Macaca mulatta: one gene and its partners. The protein of the gene in region 1 interacts with the protein of each later gene in a biochemical or structural test. Links are inferred from orthologs where the notes say so. Each region holds a gene or a part of one and is shown in the gene's direction. Other genes may lie near its edges.

Region 1 (5,114 bases):
ATCTCGGCTCACTGCAACCTCCGCCTAGCAGGTTCAAGCAATTCTTGTGCCTCAGCCACCTGAGTAGTTGCGATGACAGGCGTGCACCACCACGCCCGGCTAATTTTTGTATTTTTAGTAGAGACAGAGTTTGCCACGTTGGCCAGGCTGGTCTTAAATTCCTGGCCTCAAGTGATCCGCCCACCTCGGCCTCCCAAAGTGCTGGGATTACTGGCATGAGCCACTGCACCCAGCCTATTTTCAGCCTTAAAAACCCTGGAACATAGAAGTTCAGAACTTCCCTCTCTTCACAGAGCTACTCGCATCATTTCATGGTGATCCTTTGTCCCCAATGTCTTCTGCCTGAAGGCCTATTTTGTCTGAGTGAATTTCTATAGGTACATATTTTGGTTAGTTTTTCTCTAGTACACCTTTTTCCATCATTTTACTTTTGGTGCCCTTAGATTTTAAATGTCCTCTTGTAAATAGCATAGAGCTGCATTTTATTTTTTCTTGGCCAATCTGGTCATCTGTGTTTTAAGAGGTGAACGTAAACCACATTTTCTACCTCTGGTTTTGTACTATATATTTACCATCCCTTTTACTTTGCTTCCTTTTTCTCCTTTTCTGGCGTCCATTATAGTTTGTATTCTTTTGATGATCCCTCTTAAATATCTGAAATACACACCTGACTTTACAAAGCCAGAGAATGCTTAGTCTCTTTATCCCCCTCTCAAATCGAACTTCCTAAAACACCTTAACTCTGATTGCCCTCTCAGTCTCCCATGTTCTTCTGTCTCATGCATCTTGTTTCTGTGGCCCACAGATTATCCATTATTCATGTTGCATATTAAATACTTGTTTAGATTTACTGACATGTTTACTAATTTGCTCACCATTTTTCCATCTAATTTCTTCCTTTTGGGTTCCATGTCTTTGATACTGAAGTACATTCTTTAAAAATTATTTTGGCGGCTGGGCGCAGTGGCTCACGCCTGTAATCCCAGCACTTTGGGAGGCTGAGGCGGGCGGATCACGAGGTCAGGAGATCGAGACCATCCTGGCCAACATGGTGAAACCCCATCTCTACTAAAAACATAAAAAGTAGCTAGGCGTGGTGGCAGGCGCCTAATAATCCCAGCTCCTTAGGAGGCTGACTGAGGCAGGAGAATCGCTTGAACCAGGGAGGCGGAGGTTGCAGTGAGCTGAGATCGCACCACTCTAGCCTGGCGAAAGAACGAAACTCCCTTTCAAAAAAAAAAAAAAAAAAAGATGTTGATCTTCGGTCTGTGCCTTCTGCTCTGGATTTTAAGCATCATTTCTGACAGCTCTCATTCAGGAACTGCCTCTGCAGGTCTTTCAGTGCTCGCCTGTGGAGCTCTGCTCCGGCCTGCGAGTTCTCCTGGCGTTGCCATCCGTGGCCTTTTCCTTTTAATTCTCCATCACCTGTCCTCTGGTAAGCTGCTTGCTATCAGCCTCCAGGTCCACGATTTCTCTTCTGTTGTCCTGCTCTGCCTTCTTGCCACATCCTCTGAGACCTGAATTTCGATAGCTCTACTCTTCAATTATATTATTCTTTTTCAAACCTGGGCGTTCATTTCTAGCGTCTTGCTCTATCCTGTGTCTGACTGTGCCTCCCGCACCTTCTCCCTTCTCTTGCCCTGAGCCCCCTTGAAGGCGCCGGGCCTTTGGCTCCCGCTGTTTCCCACGGTGCCCAGAGCCGCGGGTCAGTCCTGACACAGACTCGGTGAGGGAAGGAAGTGGTGCCACGGGGCTGCAGCCTGGCCCACCCGCTCCATCGGCCCAGGGCGGCCCCACCGCTCTCCCGGCCTCACCAGAGTCGGGGCCACGGGAGAGGCTCCCGCGCTGCTCATGACGTCACGGGACTGTGACGCGCCCAGGAGCCCCGCCTCTCGTGTCCCGGGCCGGGGACCCAGGCTCTCTGCGCCGTGACGTCACGGGTCCGGGCGGGCGGGTTGTGCGTCGGCCCAATGGGAGCTGCGCGCCGGCCTCCCCTTTAAGGAATGTTGTGACCTGACGTCACCGGGCGAGTTACCTCCCGCAGCCGCCGCCGCCGTGCTCAGCGCGAGCGCCGGAGCCCTTGAGCGCGAGGCACGGAGCCCCCGGAGCCCCCAAACCGCAGCCACATCTCCGCGCCCCAGAGCCCCGGCCTGCGCGCCCAGCCGGGCCCGCGCGATGCCCTCCGACCGGCCTTTCAAGCAGCGGCGGAGCTTCGGTGAGGCCCGGCAGGCGAGCTGTGAGCTCGGGGTAGGGGTGCCGGGGAGGGGGGGTGCCCGGCCGACCCAGACTGCCGCAGGTGACGTCAGCCCCGTGACGTCAGGCTTCGGCTGGACCCTCGGGCTGGGAGGCTGGCTCCGGCCTGGGCGGGGGCTGCCTGCTTCCCCACCACGATAGGTGCCAGGGGCTGTGGGGCCTGACGGCCCCGGGGGCGGGGGCTGGAGCTGGGGCGTGGCCGGGGGCCGCCCCTTGGGGACAGGCAGGCGGAGACGTGGGGAGGACCTGGGCCGGGCCGACCCGGCCTCACGGTCTGGCCGCTGTCCGCAGCCGACCGCTGTAAGGAGGTACAGCAGATCCGCGACCAGCACCCCAGCAAAATCCCGGTAAGTCCTGCACCCCCAGCCCTGCCCCGGCCCCGCCTCGCGCGTCCCCGACACAACCCCCTGCCCGCCCGCCCTGCTCCCAGGTGATCATCGAGCGCTACAAGGGTGAGAAGCAGCTGCCCGTCCTGGACAAGACCAAGTTTCTGGTCCCGGACCATGTCAACATGAGCGAGTTGGTCAAGATCATCCGGTGCGTGGGCAGCCGCTGCCAGGTGGTGGCTTGGGTCGGGAAGGGAGACGGGTTCCCGCCGAGAAGGGGTCAGGGGTGATGGGACCGGTGGTGGACCCCTGTTCTGGGGCGGCTGGAAAGGTCAAGGTCGGGGCTGCAGTCGGTGCCGGGTCAGAGGTGACAGGTGGGGTGAGGATGGGTGTGAAAGGCTGGGAATCATTCTGGGGGTCAGGGCTACGTTGCCCCGTAGCCAAGCCCCTTACAGCCACATACTCTCCCGCCTGCCTCAGGCGCCGCCTGCAGCTGAACCCCACGCAGGCCTTCTTCCTGCTGGTGAACCAGCACAGCATGGTGAGCGTGTCCACGCCCATCGCGGACATCTACGAGCAGGAGAAAGACGAGGACGGCTTCCTCTACATGGTCTACGCCTCCCAGGAAACCTTCGGCTTCTGAGCCAGCAGTAGGGGGGTCGGCCTGGGAGTGGGGGGGGGCCCGGTCAGGCCCTGCCCAGAGAGCTCCTGGTTCCTGAACTGAGCTGCCTCTGCCGTGGTGGGCTGGGCAGGCATGTGCCCCCCTAGTCAGAGGGCAACCCACCTACTCTGCCCCTGGGTGGATCCTGGGCCGGTTGTGTTAGGGTTGTCCCTCTGGGTGCTGGCTGGGATGGGGGAGGGTTGGGAGCAGCCCCCAGCACCCCGCTGTGTGGTTCATCTTTTTTTTAGGCCCCTGCCTGACTGCCCATCTGCCCCTCACCCACCCAAGGCTCTGCCCACGCCTGGACCTGCCCACCCCTGAAAGACTGGCCCCTGGCTCCCCGCCCCTCGGTCTCCACATGGTGTATGGATCTGTGGTCATTGTCCCTCTGCAGAATAAAGATTGCTCAGGCCTGCCTGGCCCCGTGCCTCCAGCTGCTTGCTTGGGAGTGGGAAGGGTGCTGGTAGGGCTGTCTGCACCATCCCCGGGCTCTGGCGCACAGACTTGTGTTCTGTGGCCTCAGTGCTTGCTCTGGAAACCCACACCTGTGTGTAGTGTTCAGAACATTAGGGTCCAACCCTCTAGGAGTGCAATGCAGATGTGGTCTCAGGGTAGACTTCATAACAAAAAACATTTATTAAGTAGCTACAACCTAACAAGCCCTGCTCACCTGCCTCTTCTCCTTCCTGCCTGGGAGGGGGCTCCTTGGTGTGCAGAGCCACGAAGTGGGGGGGTCCAAGTTGGGGAGCTTCCAGTTCTTCCCCACAGGCCTTACTATCAGCCATGGGTCTCTTTTGGTACCAGAGACTTGTGACCCTGGACTCGAACCTCTTCTGCCCGAGCACTCGCCTGCTGGCAACTCTGACTGGAGGGCTTGGCCCAGCTTCTGGCCCCTCAGCCCCCTGAGGTCCACAAAGCCCTGTGCCAGCCAGGCCTACTTGAGCACAAGCATGGCCTCTGTGCCGTCCTTGGCGGTCAAGTAGAGGCCGTGTGTGAGGTAGTACTCCCGCCGCAGGAAGGCATAGAAGTAATCAGAGATGAGCAGGATCTGGGGGGAGAGAGAGGATATGAGGTGCTGCAGGGTATCTCCCCGTGAGCCCAGGATCCCTGAACTGCTAGCATGTGTTGGAAGACAGGAGAGCCCCTGCCTGGCTCTGGATCACAATCACTGGAGAGGCCCTGCCCAGGGCCCCCACCTCAGGGCCCAAACTTGACCCTGCAAGGTCTGTTGGCCTCTCAGAGGCTGTCCAGACTTCCCCGGCCCCCACCCATGGTCTACACCTCCATCACAGGCTTTGGTCTCAAATGCCAGCCTGGTGCCTGTGCAGCCAGAGGCCTCTGCCCCCTCTTCCCACAGCCACTTCCACCCCAGCCAGGTCCACATCAAACTCCTCACCTTCCCTCTGTCAAATACACTTCTCCCACTGGGCACCCATGCCCCCATCTTCCAGCCAAGTGCCCAGGCCACAAAATTGCCCTGACACTTCTCTCATACATCAAGCCACCATGACCTGTCAATTCTACCCCTTAAACTCAAATCCACCCTTTCGATCCAGCCCCACAGTCACTACTCTGGACAGAGCCACTGTCATCTCCTAAACAACAGCAAAGCTTGGTCCCTGGGCTCCCTGCTCTCAAACCCACGCCCACCCCATTCTTCCTGGCAGCCAGAGGGAGCTTTTCAAAACCTACATCTGATGGTGTTACTTCCAGTCTTCAAATCCTCCAAAGGCTTCCCATGCCTTAGGGGGAAGCTCGAACTCCCTGGTGCTCTGAGACCTTGCTAGGGTCCCTGCCCACCCTCTCCTGGCTCCACCTCACCCCACTGCAGGATCCTTACTGTTTCTTCTGCATGGAACGTTCTCTCCCCGTTC
Region 2 (5,046 bases), on another chromosome or scaffold:
AGGGAGCTGGGGACTTGTGTCCAAACCACCCTGTGGCATCTGCTGACCTCCTGGGCTCATCACTTTTTGCCAACATCCCTGGTTACAAGCTTGGCTGCTATTTCTGCAATGATGTGGTGGCCCCAGGAGATGTAAGTGGATTTCTCTTTAGTTCCAAATATTTCCTATCACCAACTTGTGCGCTGAGGCAGACAGACTCGGCCCTTTCATTTATGACTATTTAAATATTATCTTTTAACAAAGAGAAGAATTCTCCAATTTGGGGAGGATGGCATTATCTCATTATGAACCTTGACTGGCGTCATCAACTGTACAGCTGTTCCTTGTTCACCAATATAAACACGGCTACAAACCCTATTTTTGGAAAGCTTATTGAGGAAACCACAGCAGACTAATCCCTGGTAGCACTCAGTATTGTCTCCTGTGCTTCTTTTAGTCAAGACAACATTACAAATTAGGAGTCTAAAGATCAGATTCCATCAATGCCTTGACACTGCCTCCCAGGTAATTCCAAAAAGTCTCTTAGGTTCCCTCTGCCTCTGCAAAATAGGACTGGTGTGTAGGCTTGTCAGATTTAGTAAGTAAAAATACAGGATTCCCAGCTAACTTTGAATTTCAGTTAATAATGAATTTTTTTTTTTTTTTTTGAGACAGTCTCGCTCTGTCACCGAGGCTTGAGTGCAGTGGAACGATCTCGGCTCACTGCAACCTCTGCCTCCTGGGTTCAAGTGATTCTTCTGCCTCAGCCTCCTGAGTAGCTGAGACTACAGGCACGTGCCACCACGCCCAGCTAATTTTTGTATTTTTAGTAGAGATGGAGTTTCACCATGTTGGTCTGGCTGGTCTCAAACTCCTGACCTTGTGATCCCCCTGCCTTGGTCTCCCAAAGTGCTGGCATTACAGGCGTGAGCCACCATGCCGGGCCAATAATGAATAATTTTTTAGTATATGTTCCATGCAATATTCAAGACCCACTTATACTAAAAATTTATTTATCTGAAATTCAAATTTAACTGAGTGTCCTGTATTCTCCCTGGCAATGCTAATAGGGGAGGGAAGAATACTTGCCCTGTCAACTCACAATTCAGTGGGTCAAGTGCGACAGTGCTTTGAACAGCAAGACTACACTGTACAAATTAAGATTCTATGGCTTTCAGAACTTCACACAAGTCTGTCTGTCTGTAGGGCTGTTCCTTTATCAGAACAGATACAAAATTTCCAGTGAGGCAATGCAGAGATGTTTTCTCTAACCTCCCCTCTATTTTTCCTTTGTTTTAAAATTTTTCACTTAATAACTCATATCTCCTTTGGATGACTGGCTTTTATGTCCTCCCAATATAAAGAAAAGAAGATGACCATTCTCTTATATGAAGAAGGATGGCTTGATGATCTCTGTCATGGTGTTATAATATACAGCTGGTCTTGTTATTTAGTTATTGTCAACAAATACGATTAGTGGTCCCTTGCAGTAAAGTCCCATTTGCTCATAAGGTAAAATTTTCATAGAGTCAAAAATATTCCTGACAACCTCTTTAATTTGCCCAGAGTGGGATGGTTAGACTCTCTTTGGTTGAACCAGCAAAGGCTTGTGTTCACAGCCATGTTGTAGGAAAAAAAAAAAAAAATACTTGTAGTAAACCCTAGAATCACCCAGAGAGGTGATGCCCATGTTGTGAGAGGAACATTGGAACTGAGGGCTGCAATAATAGTAAATTATTGCTCCCATCTCACGGTCACTTTGAGGTGTTAGTTAAAATGGCAGGGCAGAATCATTTGCACTATTCTAATCATTGTTCCTTTCTGTGTCTCTGTCACTTAACTACCAAGCACAGAACTGAATTGAGTCACATAAAGGAACACATGATGCAGTTCCTTTATATGAGGCAGCTAAGCCCTCATTTTTGGTTGATATCCCCCAATCTGTTTAAGCTGCTGATCCTTTTTAGCATATTACCTCATTTAGTTACCTAAATTGTGTATTTTGTTTTCTTGATAATCTCAAGAAATGATGTACTTGAGGCTGGATGTTCTTTGCTAACAATGAGCATCTGGTTATAATTTAAAGCTTTGTCACAGAGGATTTCATATTTGAGACAGCTAGAGTTGAATGGAATAGAACATTCAGCACACACCAATGATTGTTTCTTTGCAGTCAACCAGAGACCGGACCTTGGACCAGCAGTGCACTGTGAGTCGTCCAGGATTGGCCATGATTGCAGGAGCCCTGGCCGTGGAATTGATGGTATCTGTTTTGCAGCATCCAGAAGGGTGAGTTTGCTAGTGGGAGATGAGCATTTAAACAAAGCTTTTGTAGGCAGTCATTCATCAATGTCTCCTGTAGCCTTTTCTCAGTCTGACTTTTCAGAGAATTTCACTACTTTATCTACCCTCAAAAACACAAGACTAGAAAAAGCAGGTCTGGTTCTTTGGGCTGAGATAACTTGGCACGTTTCCTTTGTGGCCACATTTCTGCATCCTTTTGGACAAATTATGGTTTATTTTATTTTTTCAACGCTTATATAGGGCTTACTTTGTGCTAGGCACTGGTCTAAGCACTTCAGAAATATTGCCTCCTTCAATCTTTTTTTTTTTTAATTATTATTTTTTTAATGAGACAGAATTTTGCTGTTGTTGCCCAGGCTGGAGTGAGTGCAATGGCACGATTTTGGCTCACTGCATCCTCTGCCTTCTGGGTTCAAGTGATTCTCCTGCCTCAGCCTCCCAAGTAACTGGGATTACAGGCATACGCCACCATGCCCGGCTAATTTTTGTATTTTTAGTAGAGACGGGGTTTTGCCATGTTGGTCAGGCTGGTCTTGAACCTCCGACCTCAGTGATCAGAGGTGATCCACCCGCCTTGGCCTCCCAAAGTGCTGGGATTACAGGCGTGAGCCATTGCACCTGGCCTCCTTTAATCTTCATAGCAAACCTGTTAGGAAAGAACTATTATTATTAGTCCCGGTTTTGATGGGGAAATCAAGGCACAGTGAGGATAAGTAAGTGGCCAAATTAACATAGTAAATGGAAAAGCCAGCGTTTAGCTCAATGTGGCTCCAAACTATGTTTAATCACTTTGTTATGTTGTTTGCAGTACAGGCAGCAGAAAATTGAATTTTTGAAAGATTTATTTTTCCAATTCTCAGAAAGTCAATATGCAAATTAACATGAATATTCTATTTATTGTGTGACTCAAAGCTTTCCTCAGCAGTTGAAAATTGTGACTGTATAGGTAACTAGTATGGGTACTCTGAGATAAACGAAAAGCAGGACTTTTTTGTCTTCCTCTTTGTCATCCACCTTAGCTATCTGTCATTTAAGTTTATTGCCATTCTCTGACAGGAAGTATTTGGGACAAAATCTTTGAGAGCTGACTTTCTGCTTCCTTGACGCTGACCATCCGTCTGCCACATTTGCCCTGGTCATAGTTTAAACACCAGGTCCTGTGTCACGTCTCTTTGGTGACAGAAGTATCACTCCATTGTTCAGAGAGTAGTGCATTAGTTTTGCCCAATTCATTCTTCACTTTTATTTCCTGCATTTCATTACCATTTATATCAGCTCAAGAAGTTAAGGTTAGAAAATTTTCCTCTTCAAATTTTCAGTGCAGAAATGTTCTGTGATGTTTGATAAGACTATTTCATAGTAAGTGAGTTAATGTTTATTGGCCTCTGATATGCCAAACATTGCACTGGCAATTGGTATAGTAGATTCCTCATTTATTAATCAGAGCTCCCTCATTCCTACTTTCTAGATGATGGATCTGAAGCACAGAGAAGTTAGGCAACTTGCCTATGGTCACAAGCTCAGGTCTTTCTTACTCCAAACCGTGCATTTTAAAATTACTCTTCTTGCCCTTTGTCCCAGGGAAATTATTTTTTTGCTAACTTACACTGCCCAGCAAGGGGCATTTTAGTTATCCTTATGAATCTTATGTAGACTTCTGCTTAGATCATCCTCCCATGTGTTAAACTTGGATTAAATGAGCAGCTCTGATTGTTTCCTGTCCTCAGGGGCTATGCCATTGCCAGCAGCAGTGACGATCGGATGAATGAGCCTCCAACCTCTCTTGGGCTCGTGCCTCACCAGGTTAGTGATTTGGAAGTGAAATCACAATTCTTTTGGTGCAGGGGGAAGGCATGTGGGGTCTCTTTGCCATTCCATCTGCCCAGCCCACTTCATATCCACCCATTTACCCTGCAGCTGGGATTTCAGTGGGAGAACTTTCCGACCACCCAGAAGGTATTCCATTCTGCAGGATAGTGATGGGAAGAAATCACAAATGAGAAGCATTGCCTAGAGTCTTTGATGCGTTTTGTAAACTGACTAGAGGCCTCATAATGCAATAGGAACAGAAAAAAAACGTGCTTTGGAATCAGCCATACAATGATTTAAATCCCAGCCCTGCCGTTATTAAGATGGCCTTCCTTGGCCAAGTCACTAAACTTCTCTGAGGCTTAGTTTTCTTATCTATAATGTGGAGAAAGTAATACTGACCTCACCTGGTAGTTGTTTGGATTATGGATGGTTGCTAGAAAGGGCTCAGCAACAGTATATATCACAGGCTCTCAACAAACAATACCTGCTGTTTCTTTGCTGTTGTTCGTTATTATTATTGATTCTGAACCCAAGTAGAGAACCTTCATAGGCAGGCATGGGAAAACCACTAGAAGCATGCAGGGTCACCAGAAAGCGGGGTGTCTTTTCAGAAAAAGAATCCAAAGTATCATGAGGAAGTTCCATCCCTTAGGGATTAAAAAGAAAAAGGCAGTGGGATGGACATTTAGAATTCATACTGCCTCTTCAGTCATTTTCATTACTATATTTTCGGGAGATTGAAGAGGTTTTCCAGTCTTACATTTTGGAAATCATTTTTTTAGATTCCACGTATGTATTCTCTCCTGTAATGTGACAGCTGCCCCCATGAGTGAAATGGTGATATTGCCCGCCAGTCCTACCTGGAGATTTGCAAGGACAGACTCAGACGAGTGCAGAGAGCACAGGGACTCAGCTCATGCTTGTCTCTCTCTTCCTCCTCGCCACCCACCT
Region 3 (5,719 bases), on another chromosome or scaffold:
GCTGGGACCACAGGCCCCCGCCACCTCGCCTGGCTAGTTTTTTTGTGTTTTTTAGTAGAGACGGGGTTTCACCGTGTTAGCCAGGATGGTCTCGATCTCCTGACCTCGTGATCCGCCCGTCTCAGCCTCCCAAAGTGCTGGGATTACAGGCTTGAGCCACCGCGCCCGGCTGGAAGGCTAAGTTTTTATGTATCACTAGAATGTTTGTATATGTCTAGCAACATTCTTGAGATACATGGCTCCAAAAAGTCTGCGAAAAAAGGGATACAGATTTTGAAATTGAATAGTTGAAGTAGCAATGTCACAGAGTAAGCACAAAGAAAGAACAAATGACGAAGAACTAAGTCCATGAGACATCCTTAGTTATAGAAGAAAAAACCTTCTTGAATGAATAATAGTTTCAACCCATTAGTAGGATATAACCATGTTTTCTATTCCTTTAATAGATTACAGGTGCAGGCCAGTAATCCCAGCTACTCTGGAGGCTGAGGCAGGAGAATCGATTGAACCCGGGAGGCGGAGGCTGCAGTAAGCCAAGATCATGCCACTACACTCCAGCCTGGGAGAGACTGAGGCTCTGTTTCGCGCACACACACACACACATGCACACACAAAGTGTATTTAGAACGAAGACTAAAATCCTGGTCTGACTTCTAAACCCATGCAATTTCTCCTGGGCCTACTCATTGAATTATTTCTAAAGGGTAAGAGAAAGGAGGAAGAACATTGCCCAAGGCTTTAAGATAGAGAATTGCTGGTTCTGTTTATTACGTGTGGAGAAAGACATGAATGATAGATAAAAATGCAGACGTAAAAGTGTTAAACAATAACCTGGTCTGGACAGTGTTTCCAGGTGGATATTAGAGAGAGGTGACTATGGACACTAATGAATTGAAACATGAAGCCCTTACAAAAAGGGAGGGCAGACTAGGCTACATAACTACCTTTCTCATCCGCCCAGTAACTTGTCTTGGGATGTGGAATGATGCAACAAACGAAACTTTCCTCTCCTTAGACTACTGTATCACAGAATCCTGGTAAACCAGTTGGAAGCAAAGAGGTGAGGGCTGGAATGGCATTCAAGAAGAGCAAAAGAAAATGAGTACTACCGGCCGGGCACGGTGCCTCACGCCTGTAATCCCAGCACTTTGGGAGGCCGAGGCGGGCGGATCACTTGAGGTCAGGAGTTCGAGACCAGCCTGGCCAACATAGTGAAACCCCATCTCTACTAAAAAAAACCCAAAAAATTAGCCGGGCATGGTGGCGCGTGCCTGTAGTCCCAACGACTCCAGAGGCTGATTCAGGAGAATTGTTTGAACCCGGGAGGCAGAGGTTGCAGTGAGTCGAGATCGCGCCACTGCACTCCAGCCTGGGCGCCAGAGCGAAACGCCATCTCAAAAAAAAAAAAAAGAAAAAGAAAAATGAGCACTACCATCCCAGGATGTCAGATCAACGCACAGCCAACCAACCCATCTTCCTTCAAAAGCATCTTTCACCCCTCTCTGCCTTCTCCATCCACTCTGAGCCCCTCACCCTCATTCCACGGATCCCAGTCTATTGATTTACTACTTATCCACTTCCTGTCCCAAACTACCTTGACTGTCTCCAGACTGGCCCCTTCCAGCACCACAATAAGCCTACGGCCTCCGATCTTGTTTCCTGCCCCTAGTCGGGGCCGCTTGGGTGGCACAGCATCCCAGTCCTGTGCCTGCTCCCCACCGCTTCGTTCACGAGGCTTGAATCCACCACTGGGCGCGGCCATCTTGCAACCAGACCGGAAGTTGCGCTAACGCTCTTAAATGAGAACAGTGAGGCTTCTAATCACAAATTTCCTTCCGGCTGCCATTTTGAAAGTGGGCTTGTAAATGGCGATGACTTGCCGTCTTGCGCTGCCCTCCCTGGGAGGGCAGCCCTCCAGAAAGGGGCGGGACTTCCGTATGCGCTCTTCCTGTGCGCGAAGTTCGGGTGGGTAGTGGGCTAAGGGGGAGGGTTTCCAAGGGAGCGCACTTCCGGTGCCCTTTCTTTCGCCAGCATTACGGGCCCGAACCCTCGTGTGAAGGGTGCAGTACCTAAGCTGCAGCGGGGTAGAGGCGGGCCGGCACCCCCTTCTGACCTCCGGTGCCGCCGGCCTCAAGATCAGACATGGCCCAGAACTTGAAGGACTTGGCGGGACGGCTGCCCGCCGGGCCCCGGGGCATGGGCACGGCGCTGAAGCTGTTGCTGGGGGCCGGCGCCGTGGCGTACGGTGTCCGCGAATCCGTGTTCACTGGTGAGCAACCTTCGCCTGCTCGCCGGACGCTTCCAGTCCCTCCCCCAAACCCCTTGCCCTATCTCACCGGTCCCCGCGCCCCACCACGAGCCTAGCTAGCATTTACTCTGAGCAGCGGCCTGGCCTGATCACCACCCCTCTCCCCACAGTGGAAGGCGGGCACAGAGCCATCTTCTTCAATCGGATCGGTGGAGTGCAGCAGGACACTATCCTGGCCGAGGGCCTTCACTTCAGGTAATGGCGGGCAGAGCTTACTGACCCTGACCTTTCACCCTTGACGCCGACCCAGCAATGGCTGTAGTGGGACGTGCAACAGGATTCAACGCTGCTCTTTTCCCTCCCTCCTCATCCCTGCTCCTAGGATAGTGGGTGCTGCGCGAACCTCCAGCAGCATATGAACTGTTGTTTTCGAAAGGGACAAGAGAATCTCTCCTTGTCGGTGGTCATGGGGAGGAGCAGGCCAAAAAACGCCTGGTGAGGGGAAACCGGGCAAAGCTAGTGAAACTGCGGCTTTTTTGGGGGAGGGGGGCGCGGGAGTTTTGCTGTGTCGCCCAGGCTGGAGTGCAGTGGCGCGATCTCGGCTCACTGCATCCTCCGCCTCCTGGGTTCAAGCGATTCTCCTGCCTCAGCCTCACGATTAGCTGGGATTACAGGCGCCCGCCACCACGCCCGACTAATTTTTGTATTTTAGTAGAGACGGGGTTTCACTATATAGGTCAAGCTGGTCTCGAACTTCTGACCTCAAATGATTCGGCCGCCCAAAGTGCTGGGATTCCAAGCGTGAGCCACCGCTCCTGGCCGAAACTGCGGCCTCTTAATACCTATCCCTGTCCCCTCCAGGATCCCCTGGTTCCAGTACCCCATTATCTATGACATTCGGGCCAGACCTCGAAAAATCTCCTCCCCTACAGGCTCCAAAGGTAGGTCTGAGCACTTGGTAATCACATGGCAGGTGGGAAGATCAAGGGAGCTGGCAAGAAACCCCAGGTGAAGATGGTAGTGTCAGGCCTTTAGGCCTTAGTTTCCATGTCTGCAAGAACTGTAACAAAAATACCTGCCTCCCGGGGTCAAAGCAGCACATTCTGAACACCCTGTGTTTGCGTGCTTTCTACTGTCTCATCCCTGACATATTCAATAAGAGTATTGTTTGTCCTTGTCTTATTCACTGCCTAGATCAAAGCTTTGTTTTAAAGCCTTTTTTTCTAATTGCTTGACTTACTATATCTACAGTTACATCCACTAGTATACTCTGTTCTGGAGAAGTTTGTCCCTACCCTTGACTAGTTCACCTATTCTCTCCTTCTAGACCACACATAAAAGCCATGCCTTTGAGTTCCCCAGACCTCTTCCTCCTCCCCACCCACCCCCCCCCCGACACACACACACACACACGCATACACCCTGGGTGAGGTAGGTCACCTGTAACCTGTAATGTACTTCTTTGTACTATACCTAGTGCAGGTGGCTTATTCATGTATTAAACTGCTGGGCCCTGGAATACAAGATTCATTAAGAACATTTTTGTCCCCCAAGTCCTTACAGGAGACGTGATTACGGTACAGCGTGAAAGCACCCACATTAGAGGTTGCATGGAGTACAGAGGGGGAAAGAGCAGTCAGCCCTGCTGGTGACGGGGTTGCAGTTCCAGGCTTCACAGTGGGTGAGGGTGCATTTCACCTGTGCTGCCTCATGTGTTCCTTGTCAGCCTGATTAACTCTCCTCCCCCCAGGGCAGTGCCAGGCTGTACATCATTGCACAGGGCATATAGGGAGGAACATGAAGGAGAAAATGCTTGGGAAAGGGTGTTTGGCCTTGACCAGCCACTGCTGACCTCAATCTCAGACCTACAGATGGTGAACATCTCCCTGCGAGTGCTGTCTCGACCCAATGCTCAGGAGCTTCCTAGCATGTACCAGCGCCTAGGGCTGGACTACGAGGAACGAGTGTTGCCGTCCATTGTCAACGAGGTGCTCAAGAGTGTGGTGGCCAAGTTCAATGCCTCACAGCTGATCACCCAGCGGGCCCAGGTCTGACTCCCACCACCATCTGCATGGTGTCAGCCTTTCCCTTCTAGGCCCAGAGTACTGGGAATTAGGAAAGGCAGCTTAATAGAAGAGGATTGTCACCCTAGTGCCATTTCCACCTAAAAGCTGTGCTAATTGCCACTGTGAGATAAGGAGAGCCAGCATTAGAACTCGGTAGCACTTGGTATTAGGAAGCACAGAGGAAAATGGCCAAGTCTTGGCTTTTCCTGCACCTCTTTCAGCAGAGAGGCTTATGTTATAGGTTTGCCTGACAGGAAGCTAAGGCAGCGCATATTGTATTGAGAGAGTGAAGGATTCGGGGTCGCAACCCAGTCCCCTCAAACCACCCTTCCCCACCCCTGCCCTCAGGTATCCCTGTTGATCCGCCGGGAGCTGACAGAGAGGGCCAAGGACTTCAGCCTCATCCTGGATGACGTGGCCATCACAGAGCTGAGCTTTAGCCGAGAGTACACAGCTGCTGTAGAAGCCAAACAAGTGGGTGAGTCGCACGAGCAGTGGGGTGAGGGCTTCCGAGATGCAGGAGGAGGAAAGACTCGGTGGACGGGGCTCCTGACCCAGCACACGGTCTCCCTGACTCTCTCCCGCTACAGCCCAGCAGGAGGCCCAGCGGGCCCAATTCTTGGTAGAAAAAGCGAAGCAGGAACAGCGGCAGAAGATTGTGCAGGCCGAGGGTGAGGCCGAGGCTGCCAAGATGATATCCTTCTGCGTGAGAGGTCTCGGCCCAGTCCCTAGGGCACCTGAGTTCCCCATCCTCCTTCACGGGCAGGCTGATGAGACTAAGGCGAATGCGACTCCGTGCTCTCTGGCCCTTGGCTCCTTGTTGCGGGTGGGGGCTACAGATGAGATCTGAAATCTTAGCGGGGGTACCTGAGCCCTGACTCCCCACTGTAAGGCCAGATCAATAGCACTGCTGGCCTTGCCTTCATTTCTGCTGCTGCCCCTAGTTCCTGGCAGCAGCCTGCAGGGAGGCCCACAGGTGGGGTCCAAGGTAGAGCGGGCACAAGCCACCTGAGCGCAACCTTGGATCTGACAGCCCAGAGGAGGACTGTAGCAAGGGAGTGTGGTAAGGACGGGGCTAGGGATTGAGACCTGCCCTTGTGTGAACCTTAACCCTCCTCACCTGGGAGAAGCACTGAGCAAGAACCCTGGCTACATCAAACTTCGCAAGATCCGAGCAGCCCAGAATATCTCCAAGACGGTGAGTGTGTCAGCCCAGCGTCTCTGATGGGGCTGCCTTGAGAAAGTGCTTTCAGTTAAGGCACATTGAGGTGAGGGAATTCGAACCTTGCTTGTTTGGGTTTCTACTCAGAGTGGTTTTATGGCCGGCGCAGTGGATCACCTGAGGTCAGGAGTTCAAGACCCACCTGGCCAACATGGTGAAACCCCACCTCTACTAAAAATACAA
Region 4 (5,693 bases), on another chromosome or scaffold:
AGTGCTGGGATTACAGGCATGAGGCACCGTCCCCGGCAACCAGCTGATGTTCTTATACACATGGTGTCCCCCTCAAGGCACATTTCAGTTCCTATCCCGAGGATTCCCCCTCGGACACACGGTGCCCCCTACCTGATCCTTAGTGCTTCCCTCGCGACCTACAAATTGCCCCCTTCCCCAGGGGGTTCACAACTCCTTACGCCTCTCAGGTTCCGCGCCCCCCACCCCGCCTAAAGAATACCCATCTGCCTGCTTCGGAAGTTCACTCTCCCCCGCCTGTCCCCCGGAGCATCTCTTGGGCCCCTGTCCCTTTTCCGGGGCTCTTCTACCTTTACCCAGAGCAGAGGGTGCAGGCCTCCTGAGCCCAGGGGCCCAGTTATCTGAGAAACCCCACGGCCTGTCCCCCGTCCAGAAAGTCTCAGCGAGCTCACGCCGCTCAGTCACGTTTTTGTTTTTCCTACATTGCAGATGAGGCTCCCAGTGTTGACGTTGGCCAGGGGCTTTGCAAACAAGCCAGGCCAAAAATGTTCAACATTTACACCGGCTGCTTAAATGAGGGCATTGATCTTACTCTCCGTGACGGTCACCTCATCGTCGGGCAGAATGAAGGCAGAGTAGATGCAAGCGAGCTCGGAGACGTAGGCCATGGCGCGGGCGAGTGTGGGGCTGGGGCCGCCAGACGGGGTGCTAGTTGCCGGAAGAGGTGAGGGCCTCACCCCAACGCGGCCTTAACTTCCTCGGAAGGACCGAGCACCTTGGCGGCAGCGAGGAAAGGGGTTCCACAGTTTTAATTTACCTGTAATTCCCACGCTTTACCGTTGCCACGGAAACCGCTGAGCAACAGCCTCTCAGAATAGGAAATCAAGACACAGAGGAAGGGCGGGACAGAAAGAGCCTATCGTCTCTCGGGGCTCTGGATTGGCCACCCAGTCTGCCCCGGGTGACGTAAAAAGAAAGAGACGGAAGAGGAAGAATTTTACCTGAGTTTGCCATAAAGCGCCCGCCCTCTCGCCTTTACGCTTCCAGTTGCGACTTATTACGTCACAGTAATCGCTGTACAAAGATCAGAATCGCTACCCGAGGCCTGAATATGAGTGTAAGATAGTGTTCAAAGCAGTCGTAGGAAGAGGTCCCATTCCCCCACTCTTTCCGCCCTAATGGAGGTCTCCAGTTTAGGTAAATAAAAGGATTGTTGGGGGTGGAGGGAAAGAACTACTATTTCTAGCATGCGTTGCGGAATGAAAGGCCTTCGCCACGCTGTTCCTTGGAAACTGTAGTCTTATGGAGAGGAACATCCAATACCGAAGCGGGCACAATTCTCACGGAAATCCAGTGGATAGATTGGAGACCTCCGCGCGCTTATACATGTCAACAGTTGTGGATTGGAGTGTTGTTATGTTTTCGTATCTTGAGAGCAGAGACTAGGCCAAAGAGATACCGACAACTCCTAGAAAGACTACAATTCCCATCCAGCCCCACGAGTCTTGGGCAAGTCGTCCTGTAAGGTCAGTGACCTGCGGGGGACGCAGTAGGCGCCGAATTTGCCTAGGGAAGGGGAAATCCGCTCTGGCTCACGTCTGCGCACTCGTAGTTCCGCCCCTCGGCCCCAATGTTTGTTATTGTTGTGCGGCTTCAGGTTTCTTCTGCCCCGCCCCGTCGACGCAATCTCCACCAATCGATGGGGTGGTCGTTTTGAGGGACAAGTGGTAAGAGCCAATCATCTTGGCGAAAACTCGGCGAAACAGGGGACTAGTTACTGTCTTTATCCGCCATGTTAGATTCACCCCACAGGGATAGCGGCAGAGCTGGCAGCGGACGGTCCTTGCCTTGGCCTACGGCAGGCGCCCCCCGGGGGCGGGAAGCTGGTAAGGAAGCGGCTGAGGTTACTTAGGGGTGGGGTCACGTCACACTGAGAGGGTTTGGGGAAGTTCAAGGGAGGAATCCTGCAAAGAAGAGGGGCGACTTTTTCCGTGTCTCGGGACAGTTAATGTTTTTAGTGACAGGATGAGAGAGCCCTTCGTGTTCAGAGGGACCGAGTGGGCGAAAAGCGCCGGAGAGTTGGAGAGTCCGTGGTTCAGAACATCGGCTTCTACCTATGGAAGGCCGCGACTCCCCAGTGGAATGAGGGCCTGGGCAAAGAAAACGAGAGAAAGTCGGGGTGGTGACACTGTCTTGGGAACATTGAGTGCTATGAAACGATAGCTGGAAGACTAGGATGAACTCTGCAAGTTAAAAAATGACACTACTTACACATCCTTTTCATTCCATCCTCCTTTTTTCGAGACCTTAAAGAGATCTCCTTGGTTAGGGACCTTCGGTTTTGGAAAGGCACTGTTTTTCCTTTTTGTCAAACACCCAGCTTTTAGAGCACACTTTTTTTTTTTTTTTTTTTTTTTGAGACAGAGTCTTGCTTTCTCAGAGAAAGACCAGCCCAGGCTGGTCGTGAACTCCTGAGCTCAAGCGATCCTCCTGCCTCGGCCTTCCAAAGTGCTGGTATTACAGGCATGAGCCACCACTCCCAGCCTCAAATCACACATTTTAAAGCTTGGATAACTTGGCTTGTACAGACCTCTGGTGGAGACAGAAATCAAAGCTCAGGTTGCCAGGTCTGTTTCATTAAAGGGATTTTGTTGAGGGTGAAAAAAAAATCGACGTGGAGGAAAAGTTAACTCGTGCCAAGCAAAGGTGAGTCAGTGGCGTGGACTTACAATAATGCCAGTTATGAAAGCTGAAGGCCTAGGACCCAGCTATCTGACTATACTGGCTTTAGACCTAAGGGTGAGATAGGGTTAACCATAGCTTTGGTGTTTACACACGTTCAAGATTAACGCTCTTGCTGAAAGAATTTTTTTACATGTCAGCGAAAGAGAGTTCCTTATGAAGACCTGGATATGATCCAGCTAAGCTAGAATCTCTGACTTCCTGTTTTCTCTTAGTTGGCCCACTAGCTGGAGGAGCTCCAGAGTATCTAAATTGATTTCCAATTGTGTAATTTGAGAAAAAGAGAGGAAGATTCATTTCCTTCACAAGCAGGGAAGTGTGTTTCTTGAAGCTGGAAAGTGATGTTTCAGAATATCCACTTCTGGCAGACAGAGTTACTTCGTTTCCCTGATTTTTTGCCTAAGGTCTTGGGGAATTGACAAAGGTTCTGTTCAAATTTTAAAGACCCCAATAATTACATGTCGTATGAATGAATACTAGATGTCAGCAGGATTGTTGTTAAGAGACTAGTATTATTTTGCTGGTGAACTTGGTTCTTGGTAGAAACAAAGAATGGAGAAAATTGGGGGATAATTGTCTTAGGGTTTCAAAAAAGTGCCTGATCTTGACAGAGTTCAGGGTCCTTTAAATGACAGTCTTAATTGGAGTGTTTTACCGGGCAGTGCGTTACATTGTGGAAAACACTACAGGTTTATGGTTCTAAAGACTGGTTTATTATCTTTTAGAATGTTTAATTGAACTTAATTTTTTTAAGGAGATGGAGTCTGGCTTTGTTGCCCAGGCTGGTCTTGGAACTCCTAGGCTCATGATCCTTCTGCCTCAGCCTCCCTAAGTGCTAGGATCACCAGCATCAGCCACCACACCTAGCCAGTTTTTTATTTTATTTTATTTTTGAGACAGAGTCTAGCTCTATCACCCAGGCGGAAGTGCAGTGACATGAGCTTGGCTCACTGCAATCTTGCCTCCCAGGTTCAAGCAATTCTCCTGCCTCAGCCTCCTGAGTAGCTGGGATTACAGACCTGCGCCACTACACACAGCTAATTTTTGTATTTTTGTAGAGATGAGGTTTCACTATGTTGGCTAGGCTGGTCTCAAACTGCTGGACTCAAACGATCTGCCTGCCTCTGCTTCCCAAAGTGCTGGGATTACAGACATGAGCCACTGTGCCTGACCTTCATTATAATATTTTTTATATTTGAATGACATTTTGAAAGAACTTGTGTACACATTTTTAATTTGATCCTTATGGTAACACTGTGAGATAGGCAGAGCAGACATATTAGACCTGTTATAGATTAAAGAACTGAAGCTCAAAGGTAAATTGACCTGCTCACAGTTTTATGTCTAGTAATGGGCCAGAACTATGTCTGCAAACTAAGTCTTCCCAGTTTGTATGCTCCTCCGCCTCCCTCCCAGCCTCTGGCCCTGGCCCCACAGACCACACTGTAAATCCCTGGGACTTAATCTTGTTTCTCTCAACCTAAGCTATTTTTTCATAAAGTCATAAAAACCAATTAAACGTAACCATTTATCAGTAAACAAAATCCTTAATTAAAAACATAATGATCAGAATAGAAATTCGATTAAGGAATTGTTAACTTGTTAGACATTATAATGATATCTACACTGTTTTTTAAAAACTTCTTATCTTTTAGAGGTACATACTCAATTATTAATGGGCAAAAGGATGGATGTCTTTCAAAATAATCTAGTAGGGAAACAGTATTGCTGTAAACCTTTGGTTACAGCAAATTGGTCCTGAGTTGATAATTGTGGAAGAAGCTAGTTCATAGGTCCATAGGGATTCATTATATTCTCTCTACTTTTGTATAGATTTAAATTTTCCCATAAAAATACTTTAAAAAATAGTCTGGGTGCGGTGGCTCATGCCTGTAATCCCAGCACTTTGGGAGGCTGAGGTGGGCCAGGAGTTCGAGACCAGCCTGGCCAACATGGTGAAACCCCTTCTCTACTAAAAGTACAAAAATTAGCTGGGCGTGGTGGCACGTGCCTGTAACAGTCCCAGCTACTCCAGAGGCTGAGGCAGGAGAATCGCTTGAACAAAGGGAAGCAGAGGTTGCAGTGAGGCGAGATCATGCCACTGTATTCCAGCCTGGGTAACAGAATGAGACTCTGTCTCAAAAATATGTCTATATATTAAAAATAATAGGCCAAGCATGGTGGCTCACGCCTGTAATCACAGCACTTTGGGAGGCCAAGGCAGGCGGATCATGAGGTCAGGAGATTGAGACCATCCTGGCTAACATGGTGAAACCCCATCTCTACTAAAAATACAAAAAAATTAGCCGGGCGTGGTGGCAGGCGCCTGTAGTCCTAGCTACTCGGAAGGCTGAGGTGAGAGAATCGCTTGAACCCAGAAGGCAGAGGTTGCAGTTCGTGCCACTGCACTTGAGCCTGGGCGACAGAGCGAGACTCCATCTCAAAATAGATAAATACAATAATATAAAATAATTAGATTATTATAGTTTGGTTAAAACATTAGTTGACTACTGTCAGTTACTTGTTGGGGCAGAAGTGGGGAATGCAGGGGTATATGTCAAATGAGGATAGCCTTGAGTTGATTATTGGTTTAACTAAGTGTTTATTACTTTCCACTTTTATATATGTTTGAAATCCCCCACTTAAAAAATTAGTACAAGGCCAGGCACGGTGGCTCATGCCTGTAATCCTAGCACTTTGGAAGGCCGAGGCGGGTGGATCATGAGGTCAAGAGATCGAGACCATCCTGCCTAACACAGTGAAACCCCGTCTCTACTAAGAAGACAAAAAAAAAAAAAAAAATCAGACGTGGTGGCAGGCACCTGTAGTCCCAGCTACTTGGGAGGCTGAGGCAGGAGAATGGCGTGAACCCAGGAGGTGGAGGTTGCAGTGAGCTGAGATCTCGCCACTGCACTCCAGCCTGGGCAACAGAGCAAGACTCTGTCTCAGAAATAAATAATTAATTAATTAAA

The links.
Region 2: the proteins of MAP1LC3A (region 1) and ATG7 form a complex in vitro, tested with the Homo sapiens proteins (2 studies listed by BioGRID, with this or other methods). The link is inferred for Macaca mulatta from reciprocal best matches to the Homo sapiens genes MAP1LC3A and ATG7.
Region 3: the proteins of MAP1LC3A (region 1) and PHB2 form a complex in vitro, tested with the Homo sapiens proteins (2 studies listed by BioGRID). The link is inferred for Macaca mulatta from reciprocal best matches to the Homo sapiens genes MAP1LC3A and PHB2.
Region 4: the proteins of MAP1LC3A (region 1) and NBR1 form a complex in vitro, tested with the Homo sapiens proteins (2 studies listed by BioGRID and IntAct). The link is inferred for Macaca mulatta from reciprocal best matches to the Homo sapiens genes MAP1LC3A and NBR1.

What each region holds. Positions count from the first base shown.
Region 1 is NC_133415.1:87,343,571-87,348,684, forward strand, and holds MAP1LC3A (microtubule-associated protein 1 light chain 3 alpha), read left to right. Parts: upstream 1-2,020; 5' UTR 2,021-2,175; coding exon 2,176-2,215; coding exon of another isoform or gene 2,216-2,236; intron 2,237-2,544; coding exon 2,545-2,600; intron 2,601-2,683; coding exon 2,684-2,790; intron 2,791-3,059; coding exon 3,060-3,222; 3' UTR 3,223-3,662; downstream 3,663-5,114. Other genes in the region: GPI-anchor transamidase component PIGU, read right to left, coding at 4,175-4,288. UniProt on the Homo sapiens protein: Ubiquitin-like modifier involved in formation of autophagosomal vacuoles (autophagosomes). While LC3s are involved in elongation of the phagophore membrane, the GABARAP/GATE-16 subfamily is essential for a later stage in autophagosome maturation.
Region 2 is NC_133407.1:150,209,211-150,214,256, forward strand, and holds part of ATG7 (ubiquitin-like modifier-activating enzyme ATG7), read left to right. Parts: coding exon 1-131; intron 132-2,152; coding exon 2,153-2,268; intron 2,269-4,010; coding exon 4,011-4,086; intron 4,087-5,046. UniProt on the Homo sapiens protein: E1-like activating enzyme involved in the 2 ubiquitin-like systems required for cytoplasm to vacuole transport (Cvt) and autophagy.
Region 3 is NC_133416.1:7,941,103-7,946,821, reverse strand, and holds the start of PHB2 (prohibitin-2), read left to right. Parts: upstream 1-1,977; 5' UTR 1,978-2,142; coding exon 2,143-2,269; intron 2,270-2,418; coding exon 2,419-2,503; intron 2,504-3,109; coding exon 3,110-3,189; intron 3,190-4,111; coding exon 4,112-4,296; intron 4,297-4,662; coding exon 4,663-4,792; intron 4,793-4,904; coding exon 4,905-5,008; coding exon of another isoform or gene 5,009-5,027; intron 5,028-5,077; exon of another isoform or gene 5,078-5,346; intron 5,347-5,434; coding exon 5,435-5,512; intron 5,513-5,719. Other genes in the region: EMG1 (ribosomal RNA small subunit methyltransferase NEP1), read right to left, coding at 1,595-1,762.
Region 4 is NC_133421.1:67,507,150-67,512,842, forward strand, and holds the start of NBR1 (next to BRCA1 gene 1 protein), read left to right. Parts: upstream 1-1,764; 5' UTR 1,765-1,865; exon of another isoform or gene 1,866-2,685; intron 2,686-5,693. UniProt on the Homo sapiens protein: Ubiquitin-binding autophagy adapter that participates in different processes including host defense or intracellular homeostasis.